Cricetulus griseus: one gene and its partner. The protein of the gene in region 1 interacts with the protein of each later gene in a pairwise test. Links are inferred from orthologs where the notes say so. Each region holds a gene or a part of one and is shown in the gene's direction. Other genes may lie near its edges.

Region 1 (3,602 bases):
TGTACATAGAACATGCCATGTTACTATGTCACCCTCTAGTAGAAGATCTGATCCTTCATTCAGCTTTTTGCTTATTCCTCAGAGAATCACATTTTGGAGGATGTGAACAAGTGTGTCATTGCTCTCCAAGAGAAAGATGTGGATGGGCTGGACCGCACTGCTGGCGCCATTCGGGGCCGGGCAGCTCGAGTCATCCATGTAGTCACCTCAGAGATGGACAACTATGAACCAGGAGTTTATACAGAAAAGGTTCTGGAAGCCACCAAGCTCCTCTCCAACACAGGTCTGAGAACTGTCTTCTGTCCTAGTGTTCTCCCTGGTCCTCACTATGGCTTGGCTCTGACATCATTCCACATCTTGTGGATTGTACAGAACTCAGCTCTGGTTTTACACACACTGGGTGGCTCATCTTACTAGTAAGAAGTTGGTTATTAGGCAGCTCATGAACACATAAGTCTTTAAGGTGGGTCCTTCCTCCTGAAGTGTTGGGGATTGAACCCAGAACCTCTTACATGCTGGCCAAGCACTCAGCTACTATCCCAACCTGTTGTAAGTCCCATTGTTAAGGTCTCAAGGTAGTGTCATTTCAAGTTCTCAGTCACTCAATCCTAGATCACAGAGTCTGGTGAGAAGATGGTTGAGTCCTTGCAAAATATTGTCTGTTAGTCACCTATAAACGCCAAGGTTTATTTTGCTGGTGAGTACTGGGCACAAGAGTAGAAACACAAAGATCTTTGTCATGAGCTTCACTCTTCTGCCTGTTCAAGGACTCAGGAAAATGTTGGTAGAGTGCTGTCTGCTTAGGGTGACCTGCCTGCCTCTTGTCTCCATAGTCATGCCACGGTTCACTGAGCAAGTGGAAGCAGCTGTGGAAGCCCTCAGCTCAGACCCAGCCCAGCCTATGGATGAGAATGAGTTTATTGATGCCTCCCGACTGGTTTACGATGGCATCCGGGACATCAGGAAAGCAGTGCTGATGATAAGGGTGAATAACTACATTCTAGACATTTCAACAGCTTCTTTCTTATCATTTGATAACTTGACCAGTGTGTCATTTTGAAACTCAGCAGATCCAGTGGCCCTGTAGTGAAACCACAGATCCAAGAGCTGGTAAAATGAGAAAGAACCCAAAAATGGATCGAAAAAAGAAAATAAGATGGGCTTGATGAATTAAGAATTAATTTAGGAAATTTAGTTCAATAAACATAGATTAGCTTGGGTTACAGGGGAAACTACAGGAAATAGTCTCTTTAATTTCAGAGAAGCAGCTTTTTCTTAAAATAGGTAAAGTTCCTGTACTCCTCTCCAGAAGAAACTTTCCTCTCCTTGAAGGGAAGCCCAGGCAGGAGGTTAGACTCTGTTCAGGATAAGGAGTGGATGCTCCATGGCTCATGGCCAAGTGCTGAGCCAAGTGGAAGTACTGCCTCTGAGTCTTTGTCACCCATCTCAGAAAAGGCAGCAGAAGGTCCTATGGAGTTGGGTGGGATGGGTCTCTGAAACTGCAGTTTCTTCCATCAAACATGTCTTGGGCCTGTGTCTCCCAAACTGCCTTTTCCGTCGCTGTGGATCTCTTGCATGTTGCTCTGTCTGTGTTCCACCCCCAGTTTGTTGCAGGCTTGCAGAAGGGGCATTTGGAATACATTGCCCACCTGCTGCATTGCTGGAGCTTTGACTGCTGTCGTGTAGTTCAGTCCACTGACTTTCATTAATACCCGCATGGTTTGGCTAGACAGGGGCCCTATCTACTTTCTTACCCCTCTTCCTAGACTGCAGAAGTTAACCGCAGTGCCAGTTGGAACCATGTTCAAGACTTGCTGCATCCATTTTGTATGCAGCATTGAAACACTTAGGAAGACCACCATTCTGTGCATGAAGCAGGACAGCTGCCCATCAGCCCCAAGCACACTGGGAAGAGGAATGGTTGTGGGTGGAGCTACAAGATAGCAGAGGCTTCAGTCTTTGAGTGGGCCGGAGATGCTTTAGTGGATGAAGGTGTCTGCCACCAAACCATGAGGCCCGTTTGACCCTCAGGACCATCTCCCACAGGTTGTTCTCTGAGTTCCACATGTACAAAATAGATTAAAATGCCACTAAAAAGGTATTTTTTAAAGTTAAGGCAGAAGAATCTATCTCCTATAGAGGCTGGTCTGAGTTAACCATGGCAGCCAGTGGCTATAATATGGTATTAGTGGGTCCCAAGGCTACATATACTCCAGGGAGGCACACAGTTCTGCTTGTGTGTCCTGAAGCCATGTTAAAGCCAATGGGATCAAAGCTATGTAGTGTTCCCTAGGAGGTGACTCAAACCTAGAATACCACTTTGAAGAAGCAGTCTGGGTACTGGGAAAGCTCATCCTGAGAGCAGGCAGGTACCTTAGATGCCTCCTCCAAAATAATTCCTCTGTCTGTTACATCATTTTCTTCTCTTTACTGGGGAGCTGGAGTGATGGTGGTTCAGTGGTTAAAAGCACTGGTACTCTTTTGAGAGTTTGGACACCCATGTGGTGCCTCAGAACCATCTGAAACTCAGTCCCAGGGGATCCCATGCCCTCTTCTGGCCTACAGGTATGCCATACATGAATGAGGCATAACTCTCATACACATACAATAATTGTTTTAAAAAGTAATGGCTTTATTGAATGAAAAATGGCAGTGTTTTCAGCACAGTTCACTGCCTCTGGCTTCTTTCTTTCTTTCTCTATATGATCATGTCCCCCTTTGGGGGCGGCAGGGCCACAACATACCTCTCAGCCCCTCTGTATATCAGTCTCCTTGTCAGGGAAGCCCTGGTCTCTTCTCTTTGCCTGCATTTCTTTGTAAAAATGCGCTTTCTTTAGAGGCTGATTTTGCTCGTTTTCATACTTAAGTAGCCAACCCAGCCTCTGAAGCCAGATTACTCAGTGGTTAACTCCCCTGATCAAACAGCAAGTTTGGTTGGTTTTATCTTCCCTTTCGGGAATATGAATGTGGTCCCTTAGCGCAGTGCATCTCAGTCAATTCGTGTTGTCTGCTGTTCCATACTCTCCTAAGGTTCCACACCACTTGTCCTCTGCTGATCTTCCCTTGGCTCAGAGTCACCTGAGCTGGGATCCAGCCAGTGAGCCAAATCACTCTTCTGTTACTTGCTACTTCCTCAGTCTACCAACACCAGTCCTCCCACAAGACCTGTCTTTCCCTGTTTCCCATCAGCAGGATGGCTCTCTGTTCATGGCTCTGGAGTAAGTCATATAGTTGACTCCTGGTGCTTCCTGTTAGAATAGGTGAGTGAGTGAACACCAGCAGTCTGCAGCTAGAGCTCAGAGGTTCTGAACAGGACTCTAGAGCCCCATGCTGACAGGATCTTTATGGCTCTGTGGTACCTTGTGATTCCTGCCCCCTACTGTTCTCACTTCTCTAGGGGTAGGCCCAACCTTTCCCTGTCAGAATACAAGCTCATGTCACTGAGTGCTTCCTACATGTTCTGTCATTTGATCCTCACAGCAAGGCCCTGGGCATGGCTTGGCTCAGGGCCCAGTGGAGAGGAGGTCTCACTGCCCTCCTGTCACAGACTGGTCGTCTGGGCCAAAAGCCAACCCCAGCTGTCTTGCCTGTCGTCCTTCCTG
Region 2 (4,034 bases), on another chromosome or scaffold:
TCTGCCTGGTTGTAGCAGGCATACTAGGACATGATTTTAGGAGCTAGGTAGATAGACATTTAATATTTGTATTTATGAATGGTAATGTATCCTAGAATAAAAAGGAACACAAAAAACTTGATTTCACAGACTACGATTTAGGGAAAAGCTAAAAAATTCAAAGATGTGGAAACTGGCTTTAAACAACGTTATTGGATGAATAATAACACCCGGCCGAACACTGGCAAACATTGTGTAGTTAGGATGCAAGCTACAGAATTTAGGAGAGAATATACTGTTACAGCAGGTTCTATTAAACTTCCAGTCTTCCAGAAGTGCAACATTTTGTAACAGACCTATAAGCAGGGGTGATAAATGATACAATGAATTTAGAAAGTACAGGTGGAAATGAGGAGAAAGATAGGCTTTTGCTCTAAGAGCACTGGGAAGCCTCTTGCTTTATCCCGAGGAACAGTAACAACCTAATTAGAGATGGCTTCACCTATCAGCGTGTTTTAGTACGCGATACTCAGATAGTTGACCAATTGTCCCCCTCCCCGCCACCCCTCCCCCATATGACTCAGAGGCTGGAAAAATGCTAACACATAGAGAGCACAAGGCTTTCCACATGCCGGGCTTGTTGTTTGGTTTATTGCCTCATTTATTCTCATCAGCCCTTATTTTACAGTCGGGAGAACTGAAATAAAAGGAGGCTAAGGAACCTGTCCAAGATAAAGGCGCTAACTAAAGTAGCAAGGATTAAACCCAGGCGTCTTGGCACTGGAGTGCTCGCTCATTCCGAACACTAAACCAGAATCCACGCGTGGGTCGGGCACACGACGTTAACGCAGGTCACGCTTGAGCGTTGAAGCGTGAAACCACCGTTCTCACTAGCGGCACGAGACCCGGTTTCGAGACCAGTTTCTCCAGCCCCAAGATGGGGACAGTACTGAGGCTCGGAGTTTGGTGCAGAGTGAGATAACGAATGTGAAAGTGAACTTCAAACTACGTCGGTAACTCCACCTACTAGCGATTAGGAAACAGAACCCGCAAACCGAAATTTACCAGTACCCAGAGCCCGAGTGAGGCTCCGCCCCCAGCAGGCGGAAGGTGGGGCAGGCGGGCCTTTGCGCATGCGGAGGCCTCTGGCCGCGCCCTCCTCTGACCCCAGCGAGAGTAGCTGCTGTTTCTGAGAGGACGATTCGTAAGCCGGGTTCGGCGCGGTTACCCATTCTTCTCCCTTCCGCCCGGTCCTTCGGTGCTCAAGCGACGCCCGGAGCCCGGTCGGTTCCGCGTAGCTCGTCTGGCTTTCCACAGAGGATCCGGCTGCTGGCCCCATAGGTGGCTGTCGAAAGTGCCGGCCGCGCGCCGGCGCCGGCAGCAGCCGGGTGGGAAGGCTCAAGATGGCGTGCCTGTTGGAGACCCCAATCCGCATGAGTGTCCTCTCGGTGAGTGACCCACCCGCTCGGCGCCCAGCAGCCCGGGCTCCGCCAACTCTGTGAGCCCGGCGCGGTGAGCTTCCCGAGCACCACCCCCTGCGGTGGCCGTAGGTGGGACACACGCGGCCCGGGCCGAGCCGGAGGCGTCTCACACTCGCGAGCTCCCACCGGTGCGGACTCCCGGGGCGGCGTCGGGCCGGCGGGGAGGTCGGGCTCTAGGCAGCCGGCCCATGGGCGCGGCTTGGGCTTGGCCGAGCGTTTCCCCTGCCTCCCTCTCTGCGCGGTTGCCTCTCCAGACCGAGCTCGCTGCCTGCTGAGGTTCAGGGCAGGCCTGGGACCGAGCGACCACTCCACTCTCCCGGGCTGTGGGTAGAAGAGGTGTGAGCTCTTCCGCTGCCACAGCACAGAGCTGCCAGGCTAGGGCTGTGTGTCTTCTGTCACGTCCCTACACCCAGGCACCTGCCAGAGCCGCTTGTTTCTCGGCAATGGATATATATAATATATATATATATATATATATATATATATATAATTCAAGCTGCTACTCTTGCTATATTGTGTGTGGTTATTTAAACCGCTTTGCTCTGTTCTGCTCCTGAGGTCGCGGCTCGGACACTAGAGAAACTATGTTGCTATTGCCCGGTGTTCATTTTTTTCCTTAGGGAGAACAAAACATTTTAGAAGGAGGAACCAAAAGGGGTAATTAAAAAAAAAAAACAAGATTAAATTTCCCCATTCCCCCATTCAAGAAGGGAACGTCTTGATACGCCAAGAAGTCATACCATTTCTTTTCTTCTTACGTTAAAAAGAAACAACAACAGCAACAAACCAACAAGAAGACGTTCACCTTCCACGATATTGTCCTTAAAAGAAAAGAACAGGAGCATCGATGAAATGAACAAGAATGAAAGTTGCAGGGGGATAACTTTGGAGGGTTTCACGACAGGTTTTAGCTGTTGCACGCCAAGTAGAGTTTACCAATGAATGATTCATTTGTTGTTGTTGGAAATAAAGAAGTATGCAGGCAAAGAGCGATTGATCATCCTTGAGACTTGTTGAAACTTACTGAGATGGTAGTTGGATTCTAAATGACTTGCTATGATTCCTACAGTCTTGCAACTCCAACCGGTTCCTTTTCTCGGCTCTGACCTCTTACACAAACACACTCACGTGTTCAAAGGCACCTAGTACATCACTCCAGGGTTAGAGCCATTCAATAGGCTGCTACCTACAGTTACAATACAGTGCAAAATGTAATTTTGGGAGGTGATCAACAGATCTATCCCTGGATCCATTTTACTCAACTGCTTACTTAAACTGCAACTAGAGAAATGCTGTTCACCCAGCTATTGAGCACATTAGCCTGTTAGTCCACTTACGATGTCCATGAATGTTTTGTGGGAGAACAGACCAGTGATCTCCCTAATTGAGTTAAAAGACAAGAAAGATGTATCCTAATGGTTCAGTTCTCTTTTGATTATGTCATCCTGATTTCAGATACCCTTTAGTTCATCTGAAAAACTTTTGGTTGCCCTCCCCCCCCCAACACACACACACACACACACACACACACACACTGAACCCAACCCTTTGAGCACCCTTGGTAAGGTGCTGTTCCAGAATACAGTCCTAGCTCCACCTGTTTTCTTTCTGTACATTATCAACTTGAATAGTGTAGATAATCAAAAACCTCATTTGTCTCACTTTCTTTGTAAATGATTATGTTCTGTTTATTTCACTCAAAAAAACTTCTTGAAGAATATTTTCCATTTTTGAGTTAGAATTTGCTTTAGCTCTAGTCTCATTTGGGAGCATAAACTAACTCAAAGGTCTAGTTTTCCAATTCGTTGGTCTTAGGGCAGAGCTTTGGAGAAACACTTTAAAATGTCTTGAGCTTAATGATCTTACAGGTTAAAGGAAAGACTTTGCCTTTCAAACAGCTAACTCAAGCACCATTTTAATATTAATTATTAATTAGAAGTTATTGTGATTAAGGAAGTGGCTCAGTGGGTAAATTCCTTGCTTCACAAGCATGAGGACTTGAGTTAGGATCCTCAGTACCTACATAAAAAGCCCCATATGTCAGTGCATGTTTGTAATGTCACTGCAATGTCAGTGCATGTCTGCAATGTCAGTGCATGTCTACAATGTCAGTACATGTCTGTAATGTCAGTACTGGGAGGCAGATCCTAGAGGCTTTCTAGCTAGTTGCTATAGTCAGAACTGGGAGCTTCAGGTTTAGTGAGAGACCCTGTCTCAAAAAGTAAGGTAGAAGCAGACAAAGATAACCGATGTTGACCTCTGACCTGTGATCCGGTGAGTGCATGCACACACGCGCGCGCGCACACACACACACACACACACACACACACTTGGGTGAATCTCTTCAATAAGCTACTTACTATATGCCTTTGATGTACAAAGCCCTGTGTTGTGTGTGTACTTTAGCAAATGCAAGGTTATCAGAAGTGCTCCAAAGGAGCTCATAGTCCTGATGACTCTGCAGTGTGATAACTGTAAGTTGCTGAATGGGAAATCAAATTGTTTTAAATTATTTCCATCTGTAGTCCATTATACCTTCTTCCTGAGAGACCACAGTTGCTTGCTTAACCTGAA

The links.
Region 2: the proteins of Ctnna1 (region 1) and Armc8 interact in a two-hybrid assay, tested with the Homo sapiens proteins (2 studies listed by BioGRID and IntAct). The link is inferred for Cricetulus griseus from reciprocal best matches to the Homo sapiens genes CTNNA1 and ARMC8.

What each region holds. Positions count from the first base shown.
Region 1 is NC_048595.1:202,266,625-202,270,226, reverse strand, and holds part of Ctnna1 (catenin alpha-1), read left to right. Parts: intron 1-82; coding exon 83-283; intron 284-833; coding exon 834-985; intron 986-3,602. UniProt on the Homo sapiens protein: Associates with the cytoplasmic domain of a variety of cadherins. The association of catenins to cadherins produces a complex which is linked to the actin filament network, and which seems to be of primary importance for cadherins cell-adhesion properties.
Region 2 is NC_048597.1:207,972,383-207,976,416, reverse strand, and holds the start of Armc8 (armadillo repeat-containing protein 8), read left to right. Parts: upstream 1-1,133; 5' UTR 1,134-1,382; coding exon 1,383-1,427; intron 1,428-4,034. UniProt on the Homo sapiens protein: Component of the CTLH E3 ubiquitin-protein ligase complex that selectively accepts ubiquitin from UBE2H and mediates ubiquitination and subsequent proteasomal degradation of the transcription factor HBP1.